2 linked regions of the Oryzias latipes genome follow. The protein of the gene in region 1 interacts with the protein of each later gene in a biochemical or structural test. Links are inferred from orthologs where the notes say so. Each region holds a gene or a part of one and is shown on either strand. Other genes may lie near its edges.

Evidence for each region. The genes of interacting proteins can lie anywhere in the genome.
Region 2: the proteins of nufip2 (region 1) and fmr1 form a complex in vitro, tested with the Homo sapiens proteins (2 studies listed by BioGRID and IntAct, with this or other methods). The link is inferred for Oryzias latipes from reciprocal best matches to the Homo sapiens genes NUFIP2 and FMR1.

What each region holds. Positions count from the first base shown.
Region 1 is NC_019872.2:16,917,719-16,923,961, forward strand, and holds the start of nufip2 (nuclear fragile X mental retardation-interacting protein 2), read left to right. Parts: upstream 1-1,922; 5' UTR 1,923-2,238; coding exon 2,239-2,386; intron 2,387-6,238; coding exon 6,239-6,243. UniProt on the Homo sapiens protein: Binds RNA.
Region 2 is NC_019868.2:25,366,357-25,372,578, forward strand, and holds the start of fmr1 (synaptic functional regulator FMR1), read left to right. Parts: upstream 1-2,758; 5' UTR 2,759-3,159; coding exon 3,160-3,210; intron 3,211-6,222.

The DNA.
Region 1 (6,243 bases):
TTATGCCTAAAGAAAACATGAATACCTTCAGATTTTCAAAATACATTTTTAGAACATGAAAATGTTCTAAAAGCAAAGAAAAGGAATTTCACTAAGAGAAATCTTGTTTTCCTTTTGGCTTTTCCCTTCAGGGATCGCCACCGTGAATCATCTTCCTCCATCTAACCCTATCTTCTGTGTCCTCCACCAGCTACCTTCACATCTTATTTGGATGCATCTATAAATTTCCTCTTTGGTCTTCCACTAGACGTTTTGCCTGGCAGCTCTACACTCAGCATCTTTCTACCAATATATTCACCGTCTGTCCTCTGGACACATCCGGACCATCTCAGTCTGGCCTCCCTGACTTTATTACCAAAACCTCCAACATGTGCTGTCTGTCTGATTTCCTCATCCTGATCCTATCCGTCCTGGTCACTCCCAAAGAGAACCTCAGCATCTTCATCGCTCAATTTCTGCTTCCTGTCTTTTCCTCAGTGCATCTGTCTGTAGGCCAAACAACATGGCTGGTGTCACCACAGTTTTGTACACCTTTCATTTAATTTAAGCTGAAACTCCTCTATTACACATCACACCTCATTTCGTTAAGAAAAATAATTTTACAAATCATAATTTCATATTTTCTATAGGCTTTATGAAATTGCTCACTCGGTTGTGCCGTGGCACATGATTCTTTGTTGAAATACTGCACTTAGCTTGACTTTTTCTGTCAAGTTGTCAGAAAGGGTGCTCATATTGTGTCTAAAAGAAAACCAAATACTTTTGTCAGAAATAAGACATTAACTATATGGTCAACTCTTTCTTGATGAAATGATATACAAATGTAAATTAGAGTGAATAACTTTTATTAAACAAATATTAATTTTCTTATCCCATTATTGCACAGGTCTTTGCTTTTCCTCCATAAAAAATCATCTGAGGGATCATTTGATTTAAAAAAAGAAAAAAAGTGGCAAAAGTTGCCATAAACCTGCCAACATATTTATTTTAAAAATAGTGTCCAGGATATGTTTAACCAAGTGCCTGGAGAGTACTGTTCTCTGGAAACCTTCCATTTTTAAAAATAAATCTTGCTGTTAAATGAAGCAGTGATATGAATATTTCATATAAAAGTAGCTGTCAAGTGGAAGGGGGCCAGGACTGCATACATCAGCAGTAAAAGTGTGTTGGAATCAAGAGAGTGCTTTAACTGAACAGAAGGGAAGAAGTGAATAAAGGTTGCTTGATTCTTAACTTTCATCATTTGTGAATATTAGCTATTTAAAACATATTTTGTATGATTAATTGTCTTAATGGTGGCTTATAAATTATGTAATGTTAAAGCTGTATTTTTTGTAATGTATTTTAATCTCAAACTTAAAAAATAGACAAAGCTTTGATCTGAAATATTTATTTATAGCCAATTTCATAATAGAGATTATAATCTGAGGACTTCCACTCGTGGCCACTAGATGGCATTGTTTCAACGATTATCTAAACGCGTGAGCTGTTCAAAGATTCCAGACTTCTCCCACTTTTTGAAAAGTGAGGCGCTTCAATTAACTCTAAAACTTAACAAATTTACGAGTATTTTTTATTACACTTTTTCTTTCATTTTTTAAAGCATAAATGAAGAAACTATCCTATTATTGTTTCTAGATATTTATAACTGCAATCCCGTGTTTTAAATCTTATGATTACAATGAAAAGGAGAATTGAGTTTAATTGAGGCGAAACCCCTTTGAACTAAGTTCTTGATTTAACAACTGTCAATTCTACAAATTTGAAACAGTCCAATATTTTATGTATCTGATCGTATGTATGTATATTAAACAGCAGTTAGAAGACTTAAAACAAACAAAAAGCATTTATTTAAAGGCTGACCCTCCATCAAAGGTTGTCCACTGGCTGGAGACGTGGCAGCGCCTCGGGTCATATGATTTTTGGCTCATGCACGAACCCCACCCCGTTATTTCCTACCCTGACAGGGGGGGTTATTGTTCTCCTAACTTCTAATTCTAGAGTAAAATGCAGATTTGATCGACAAAGGCGCTTGAATATGATCTGCAATGGCCAACAGAGGGTCTGGACGTGGATTTAAGTGGCGGTGACCACCCAAAACAGAGCCATTTTTAGACATTTGCTGCTGACGTTTACACGGGCTTCAAATAGCTTCCGTTTCACTCTGGTAGTGATTGGACTGTTCGGCACTAAGAGGGAGCTAACACCGCCTCAACCAGTCCGACATTCTTCACTTCAATGGAGGAACAGCCCAAAGATCGGGCACAAGACAGGCAAAACCATCACCACGGAGAGGACAGAAACTATACTCAACACACACTTCGTCTGAAACATGATCAGAGCCACATCCAGTGCCAGCATCAGGAAACGCAGGCGAAGAAAACAGGTTAGGCCGTCCCGAAAAGTCAGCTTGTTGCTAGCTTCAGTTGGCTAATGTCAACGAGCGCACGAGCCCTCGCTAAGTTCCCACAATTGAAGCTTTATCCTGCTGATTGTTGGTTGCACGGTTGAATATTTTCAGAACCGCCGTGGCAGTTCGGTGGCTCGCTCGAGGAGAGCCACGCTAGGCCTCTGTCACACGAGAAACTCACGCTTTTTTAAAGCTGACGTTGCGTGACAGTTGGTTTGACATATCAGGGATTGACCTTGTGCGCCGGCTTTGCTTTCCGATTTTATTTTAGCTAACGCCTCTAATAAAAGCTTTATTTGTGCCACCCTGTGTCTGTAGAGACTAACTTAGTCTTCCTCCAAACTTCAACCTCCTGTAGTGTATCGGTTTCGAGTCCAGTTAGGAAACCGAGCCGGCTCCGCTGGAATGTTCTGTGCTCCCATTTCCTGTCGGCCATGTTAGACGTGGACTGTAAGCTAATGCTGCTTTTGCTCTCCGAGTAGCTACATTGCCCATCTCTATTTGTTCATGCTTTCTCTAATTGCCGCCGGGGACTGAAAATAACGGAACCAGGGAGTCGTCTGAAAGTGCGCTAGTGTTGAGCGAGCTACTGGTTGGTTGACATTCCGCTAGCATTAGCTGTCTGACAGGCCTATCGCGTGTTGTGAAGTCACGCAAGATGCTGCCTGACTGACTGTGTTTGCAGCCGTGGAGCGTGGAAGAATTGGCTCAGAAAACTGACTGCTGTAAAACACTGTTTACTAAAAAGCAAAAGTGATTTATTCTGTGTGGGGAATCTCGCGTGTTTTGTCCACAAACATTCGGCTGGAGAAATCCCGTGAAGGGAAAAGTCCCACGTTTGCACCGCGGTTCCCATGCTTAAGTAATTACAGCACAATAAGCATAGGTCATCACACACGTCCAATGTGGGACAATGACATCAGCGTCAACTGCAGCATATCAAGGATGTGACTAATTAAAACAAGATCAGTTTTATTCACAACGAGCTGTATATACGAGATGTTGGTACTGAATGATCAACTGAAATTTCAAAAACCTGTTATTGAACATGGAAGTGAACTGGATGAGATTATACTCATGAATCTGGGTGTAATGATTCGATTCATATCCTAATTTCTGGTTGCCAGTACAATTCATAGTCTGTATTGGTTCATTTGATCTGAAACGATTTACTGACCTAAAATGGATCCAGGACATCTTTAGCCAAAAGTTCCTCCAGTGTGACTCAGAAATACCTGGTACTGAACAGTGCAGGTGAAGTTTTCCAGATTCCTTGTATTTCTTGTAAGATAATCTAGTGTAAATTAAATGTGTGTACAACCAAACAAGTAAACAAGAATTAATGTAAAATCCATTCACCTCTTAATTTCCTAAAGTTCAGTCCACTGTTGTTTCTCCACATCAAAATAATCCAAAGGGAACATTTTTAGAACATTCTAGCACACTGTATGGTCGCATGTCTTTGCTAAATTCAAAGTGTTTCCACATATTGGACTGGAATAATAGACTGATCATTTTTTGCTTACATCACGTGTGTTTTGTCTGCTGTGATGCAAATGCTAAATTCCGATAATGATTATAATTAATTTGTCTCATTTTGAAACGATTTTATACTGTTGTAGGTCGATTGGTTGACAACCTGTCTCAGACAGATCAATCTGGTTGGATCGTAGAAGTAGAAATCAATTAATCAGTTATGTTGATTAATTGTTACACCTCAACTTACAAGTATAGGTAATTTGATACAAAAAATTATATTGATTTCTCCAAAAAGTACTGATTTATGTTTAATTCCAATTAACTTAGAACTCAAGTGAGTAAAGTTGATGAGACCTAAAAATAACATGTTTTCTAATATGTATTGATATTGCGTAACAATATAGCTGCAGAGTCATATTTGTAATTCGTTTGTGCCATTCATACATGTTTGCAGGTCATCTGAAAAAGCATTTTCTGCTGCTTTAACCATGAATATCCTTTACCAACCAAACGTATAAATAAAGGCAACATCAACCTAAAAATAGACTTGTTTAGTTTTATGTCAAAATTAACATGTCATTATTACGGGCTGCCTTGGTACAGTGGAAGGGGGTCGACCTCTGATCAAAAGATTGCAGGAAGGTGTCCTTGGGTAAGACACTGAACCCCACCTTACCTCTGGTGGAAGGTTGGCGCCAGTGTGTGTGCATGGGTGAATGGGACTGTGACTGTAAAGCGCTTTGGGCCTTCTAAAAAGCTTGTAAAGCACTAAATAAGTATACGGCATTTACCATTATTTAGTAGAAATGTTATTTAACGTGAACGGCCACTAATGTAAATTAAATAACTACACAAAGTAAGAGGAAATACCATGTTTTCTTTCTTGATCTGAATATTAGTTGTAGTTTAGCTGATGTAAAGTACTAAAAATGGTTTTATGAAGTAAACAATGCAAAGCTTTAGAATGTATATAAGTGCATTCTCATATGATTTTTTGTATAGAGGGGATAACTTGGAGACCGACTCATTGACTGTGCAAAGCTTCATAAAGCGAACACCTGCTTATCAAAAGCTCTTAAACCAATTATTTGTATATGTGCGCGTGTGTTTGTGTATGCGCGTTATGGCTTACAAGATTTTTTTTTTTTTATTAGTTTCTTGCAGTTAAAGATTTTCAATTTTTTTTTCTTTAGTCTTTTCTCAGAATGTTGTTATGATCCAGGTGTGCACTTGGATGCAGGGTTGTGATGTTTCTCACAGTTATCAACTTTGGTTTAGGTTATGTCTTTTTTTCAATTTTAAATTCACAATTATAACATCGACAACAAAAAATAGCTTTGATTATTTTTATATTATCTGTTCAGCCAAATCATCAATGTGGTTTTAGAATGATGACCTGACATTTTCTCATAAGGAAGTTGTTGAGTTTTTCCACTCTTGGCCTCTTAAAAATGTTCTGTTTGTTTTTACCAAAGTCATGCATAAGCCACAGTTTTTAATTATAAGGTAAACATTGGCGTATTGATTCTTTACTGAATGTCAGGCCTTTTTACTTAAATGAAAAAAGTCGTGGACTAAACCATTGTGGAAAAAATCCAGAAAACTGAGTGAATTTAGCTCTGTAAGAAGAAAAGATGGAATCACCCCGCATGTTTGAAGGGTTTTCCAATTCTCTTTTATATGAAAGTGTAAGCAGAAGTGTTGCAGACTTTTCAAATTCAAAGGGCATGAAAGGGTGTAAAAAAACAAAGTCTGTACTTAATTGTAATCTAGAAAACTAAAGTAGCAAAGATTTATTTTGAATTTTTAGTGTAAATATGAAGTTATTTTTTATTTCTAGGAACAGTTTCATCTTATAACTTGCGTTTTTCTGTGAGTCTGGTAGGGTTACACATTGGAAATGTTATTTCCTAATGTCTATATTTTTAACAGTGTATTCACTCATATTTTGTGCATTAAACAGTTGCAGGTTTATTGCATTTTCTACCCCCTTTTCAGGGCCTTTAACCCTTGTGCTATCCTAGGCACTGTAACATTGGGAGTTGGGTCATCTAGACCCACTAGACAGTTCGCTGAACCTTTTTTTCTTCAATGATTTGTGATCTTCACTGGTGTCCACGGATTAAATGAAATCCTCTCCACCTTTATCCACCTTTGTCGTGGTAGGGATACCATGTCAATCTAAGGGTGGGGTCATCTGGACCCTATAAGATGGCACAAGGGTTAAGGTGTAGGGGTAAGGCTCAGTTACACATTGGAGTTTGCTTTTGGTGTAACATCTTTTGTATATTTTTGAAATCATTGATAGACTATTATATCAGCATATACTGACTTAAATTCTGTTTGCAGGCAAT
Region 2 (6,222 bases), on another chromosome or scaffold:
GCCAAAAATCGCACGTGAGTCTAATGGACCTATGTAAAAAGATCTGAAAAACTCACTAGTTATTGGCTGTCGAGCTGCATGTCACCTGTTGCTTCAGAAGATGTGAGATCGTCTTACCCTGATGCAGAAGAAATGCTCTCCTCCACAAAGAAGAGACAGCAAGGGCTCTTCTATATCATTCCCGTAGCAGACACATAATTGTGTGCAAGAGCAGAAACATCCTCCTAATTTTTCAGGGCAAATACAAATATTTCCAAACCACAGAGCACTGATTGTCCATTCAGATGCTTCTTAGATGTCATATAACACATAATCTGCTACATACTTAGTATGTGAATTAGATAAAAGCAGCAGATAAATCAAACAGCACACCTATAATGCCTATTTAACAAGGAACTGAATTTTAAAACCAGCTTTTGGAGTAATAACATCAATGCAGGTCTGTATTGACCTCTTAAGGCCCTTTTACACTGGTCTGTACCAAAGTTGGTACCTTAGATGGTTCAATTTGTTTGGTGTGAAAGCTCATTCGAACTCCAGTTGGGACTTTATGAGCAATCGCTGGTTTTATTAAGAAAAGAGGTTTTTCTGAGTTTACCTGCAAGTGAACTCTGGTGTAGATCACAACAGTTTGAATGCACACAGACTACAAATCACATTAAATAATTAAGAATGACTCTGAAAATGCAAAAATTATGAAAAAGTTGGTGTAGTATGGAATGGCTTGATAATTTGCAGGCAGAGAATGGTTTAGCAGCAGTGAAGCCCTTTTTTCCCCATCTTGCTTCAGTCTTGACTTCTTTGTGCCCGAACACTTATGTCCTCTAAAAACAGCTCATTGACGGATCTTCAAGCTGCGCTTCCTTTACGTTGAATTTAAAATGAAAGCCTTTAAGGTCATAAATGTTGGATGTTTTGCCTCAAGCTGTTGGAGCTGTGATTCTTGGCGTCTGTTTTTGAGCTTCAGTATGAATGTTCAAATACATGTTTTCTAAGTTGTGGTTTGAACAAAAGTTTATTTCTAAATTTAGTTGATTGGGTTAAAAAAACTGTGGCTTTTTGACTATTCTTTTTAAGACTTTGAAGTGTGGTTTGTTTGTTCATCAAAAGGGTTTTAAATGTTATTCCAGCTTTTTGCTAAATTCCTGTAACACTTTAAGGTTTGTTTATATGAAGTTGATCAGTTTTGTTAAAAAACCAGATGACTTAAAATTTTCCCAAATGTATACAAGTAAACATTTTAATTTTCTGTGTAGCTTCACAATTTACTCCCCACATCAACCCAGTTGTCTCTATTTTTCTCTCCGATGTCAGCTTTACTCTGAACACCAAAAATGTCACGGAGACCATCATTGCAGCAAGTGGTTCCAAATCATCAATTCACACTGAGGGCGTCAGATCTTTGGACCAACATGTTTAAAGATCCTCTCCCTGTGTTTTGCTGTCTTCATTCCCATTTGTTGGCATTATAAATAGATTTTATTTTATTTAAGATTCATCAAAGCTCTTAGTGCAACTACAGACATGAACGTTTATGATGCTGGCTAAATCGAACTCCAACCCAATAAGAGCAAGACAAACAGCTTTGTCAGAAGCACCAGTGACGTCAAAAGTTTAAACCGGCAGACTGATTCAAGGAGAAAACGATTTATTTGCATCTGATATGACGATGTTGTTACGGGCTGCTGCTTTGATGTGAATTTGGTTTGGTCTGAAGAGCCTGAAACAGCGTCACTACGTTCAGGTAAATGAAAGTGGAAAAACTGACCCCTGACTCCTACCTGTTGAAAATAGACGCTGGAGACAACTGCGCTGCTTGAAAAGTAAAAACGCCACTTAGAAGGTCATCGCAGTTATCGTGAAGAGTCGCAAGCAGGACCAGTCCACATTAGAATAAACTAGACTGCACAAACATAAATTGTGTAGATTGCTTCGTTTTTCGTCATTTAGCAAAAATAATTTTCCCAGTTTCCGTTGTTAATCTGAATTCTGAGTAACTTCTATCTGTGTTGGAAGAACTAAAGAAAGCATATCTACTTTTTAAAGTCAACGTAAATCAAATAGGGCTGCATGGTGGCGCAGTGGCCTAACACCAAGAAGGTTCAAGTCCCGGCTGGAGGATCTGTAACAGAATCACCAATGGGGGGACCTTTCTGTGTGGAGTTTGCATGTTCTCCCCGTGCATGAGTGGGTTTTTTCCGGGTACTCCGGCTTCCTCCCACTGTCCAAAAACATGCTTTATAGGTTAATTGGTCACTCTAAATTGTCCCTAGGTGTGAATATGAGTGTGCATGGGTGTGTGATTGTGGCGCTGCGACAGACTGGCGACCTGTCCAGGATGTCCCCTGCCTTGTTACGATAAACGCCGGCTGCCCCGTGACCCAGAAAGGGACCAAAACCGGTTCAGGAGATGACTGCATGACTGAATGAATGAAAGATTTCAGCTTTTTAAAGAAGCAGTCAACAAAAAACCAGATTGGACCAGATTTTTGGACATCCAAAAGTTAACCATCATACCTAAAGAAAAAAAATTGCTAATGCAGGAAAATTATTTATGATAAATCACAAGATTAAACCTTAGGTCACTTTGAATTGATGTTTTATCATAAATACACACGACCGGGCATTTTTTTTGCCAAACACAGTTCAATTCATTCCTTTTTTTGATGAATTCCGAATTTAACTGATCAACTAGTAAAACTGTGACACAAACTCAACTATCAGTTTGTGCCAAAGCGGCTTTTCTAGGAACCGCACAGAGCAGCAAAGGCTGCGGGAAGAGTCTGCAGGCCGAGATCACAGTAGAGGAAGAAAACGCAGACGTCACATGGAGAGATGCACCCAGCAGCAGCTGCCTTACTACTAATCACACATTAACATAAACCAGCCACCACAAGCTAACCAGGACATCTATTTGCGTTAGATTTTCCACACGTTCCCCGCCGCGAGTCTGAAAGGAGGACGCGTGAATTTCCCCACGCGGTGCAAAACCGACACCAGCAGCTACCTTTGCCTCTCCTTGCTCCCAGCTGACCGCGGAATTCGTATTGGAAGAGAAACCAGCGACAAAACTCTGCTAGCGTCGGGCTAGCTAGCCAGCCAGCTAGCTCCCATTGCTAACTGGAGTTAGCTAGCTAGCGAGCTGTGGTAACTTGCGTCATGGAGGAGCTGGTCGTGGAAGTCCGAGGAACGAGCGGGGCCTTTTACAAGGTAAACGGTTAACTTCTGCCGACCCTGGTCACGCCTGTGGCACCGTGAACTAACAGGGCGAACACGGAATGGCCCCACCGAGCAAGCCCGGAGATGCGTGTTTGTGCGCGCGGGCCTCCGTGGATGTACCTGTAATAAACAAAACTGACGCAGCGATGCTTCGCCAAACTCCCATCTAGCAGCTGACTTAACGACATTAATGTCGCTGCAGACCCCTGAGATCTGCGAAGCCGAGCTGCTTTTGCTCATATTTATCCAATTTATTCGGATGCAGGGATTATATTGGTCAAAAATGTTGTTTTGTTTGTGTCTGTGGGGCGTCTCTATTTAAAAAAAGTACCAAAGTGTTGCGTTCGGATGCTAATGTGTTGTGGGATTTGTTTAGACAAACAGAAACTGCTCATATAAGCAGGGATTGTCAGGTTTTCAAATAGTGGCCACTATTTCATTGATCCCATTGTAATGAAAACCAATAATCTGATTTCTTAAATTATCAGATTATTCAAGGACTAGCTTCCATCAGATAATAGTTGTCATTTGGTTTTTGAGAATTAAATACACGAAAGTCAAACCTAAATTCACCGAAATCCGATTTTATTCTTGCTTGGACACAATTCAATTAATTTTTGTTCGTTTACATCCAATAATGTGTAAAAACAGAATAGAAAAATGCGAATAAATGGTAGTCAAGGCAATTTCTCTATTCTGTAGGGCTTTTTTGTTGTTGTTGACCTAAATGTTTTGATTGGGAAACCGTAAAAACCATGCGGACGGCTGATTTTAACAAAATGAGAACAGATGTGGAAAAACACCCACAAAAAGTTAAAGTCGATAAAACATGTAAATCTATTTGGATCATCAGGTTCCCTAAACGCGTCAGAACGAATGGTTACAGCTTCCTAAACCCCTCCCAGTTCTCCCATTGTTGTGGTCATATAAACAGACTCATGTGTGTGTAGTAATCTGTACATCAACAATGGTATTTAGGGATGTGCCAATACAGACAACCGATATTTGCCGATACTTAAGTGTCCACAGAAACACAAAGTTTAGATTTTCTTTTTGTTTCTTTATTAGAAATGTACCACTTTTCTTTGACTGGACAATCACATTGCATTTGACCTTTTTAACATACAGCAAAGGATCCTAGAGGAACAAGTATCACTTTATAATTGTCATAAAAATATATCTGTAAGCATTCAGACCATTTACTGAATATTGGACATAACTGTCGGGGATCTAATAGGAACAACGTGTATCCCTATCAAAAATTACATTTACCTGAAAACAGTCAATTACTGACTATGACAGCAAACATAAGTTTTCCAATCTATTGGTAACAAACATTTAAAAAATAAAGTGTTTCTGAAAACAGTCAAGCGAATATCGGTAGATTTTTTATATCAGACCAATACTGAGAAACTCAAATTATGCAAATATCTGCAGATACTGGCACTGAGATCGCCCATCCCTAATGGTGTTCCCTAAAGTGACGAGCGGCGTGATCATCGGACCGTCAAACTGTTACGACCTTCTGGTTGAGCAACATTCTCTCTGATTTCAGCCTCATGAAAGTTCGGCAACAATTTAGTGATAGAAACGTTAAGTTTGGATGCAGCGGCTCGCACGACCTTGTGACAAAAAAAAAATCTACGTTTTTTTTTTAATAAGTCTTCCCCAGAAAGGAAACCACAAAAAAAGTTTGATTCAGCTCCTCTTAAATGCTTATATTTTTGTTAGATTTTATTTAAAGGTATCTGGGTGATTTAAAAGTATTTCTCTAGAATGTGTTGGAATATGTTTAATATCTGTGTTATTAGAAAAACGACTGGTCTCAATCATTAAATGTATGTATTCAGTTAAAGTAAATATCTAATGTATATGTACATATTTATGTTTTATACATGGAATCATCTTTTTCTTGTACAGATTTCTTCGGTACTTAAGGTTTATCATAGCTGTCTTTGTGGTAAAGAATTTTTTTTTCCCGTGGTGATAAACTGTATGTGAGCCATAAAGATGGTCAAAGGTGTTTATTTTTATTGCAGACACTTAGATATCTTATGTCTGAGGGTCTAAAGTGTTGTATGGAGCACACGGTGGCTGTCCCACCTGGGATTTGAACTCTCAGCTGACTGATCAGCAGGCAGCTGCTCAACCCGACGGGATCTTCAAATTCATTAACAGACATTTTAAAGTTTAATAATCCTAAAAATGATCAAATTTATGGAACGTTTTTATATCATAAAAACGTTTTAAAAGTATTCACTTTATTGAAACTTTGGAGGCTCGTCTGAACTTTTCCCCAGTTATGTGTTCTTGATCAACAGGTGATGAGGGAAGAGGGAATTCTGGGTAAAAAAAAAACATGAAATTGTGAATTGGTTCCCAGTGCTCTTTTAATTATGACTATGCAGTTTTTAGCCAAAATCAGAACATAGTTTCTGCGAAGTGGCAGAAGTTCATTAGAAATTCACCTCCGATTTGTGAGTGGGAGCAACCTCGCCCCCCTTCCTTCTCTGTTGATGAGAGGTCTCTGTTTACGCGCTTTCCTCCTTGCTAACAGGGCCTCACACCCCCAACTTAACATTAGCGGTGCGACAAAAATGGCGAGCAGTATTGGAGCTGTCCAGTCGTACAGTTCTGATCCAGATTCCAGCTCAGATGAGCTAAACACAGACGTACACGGATCTATTTGTCTGGAAGTGGATGCATCAGAATGGAGCTTGTGACCCGCCCAGCGGATTTTCTACGTCACAAATACAATCTTTTTCAAACAGCTTTTTTCGTCTGCTCCTGATTCAGTGATTTGGATAAAGAAACACTCAGAAATCCATTTTCAATGTCCTCCATTAGAAAAAAGCATCAACATCGTGTTAAAAACAGTTTCCATTGGAGTGGGTCTTTTCTGTGCCTATTTGTTAAAGTGGATTCAGTTGCAGTTATTTGAAATGCTCGTGTTGCTCGGTATTCAATGCTGTCAGCCCTGAAGGCGTCTATAAATCAGAATGA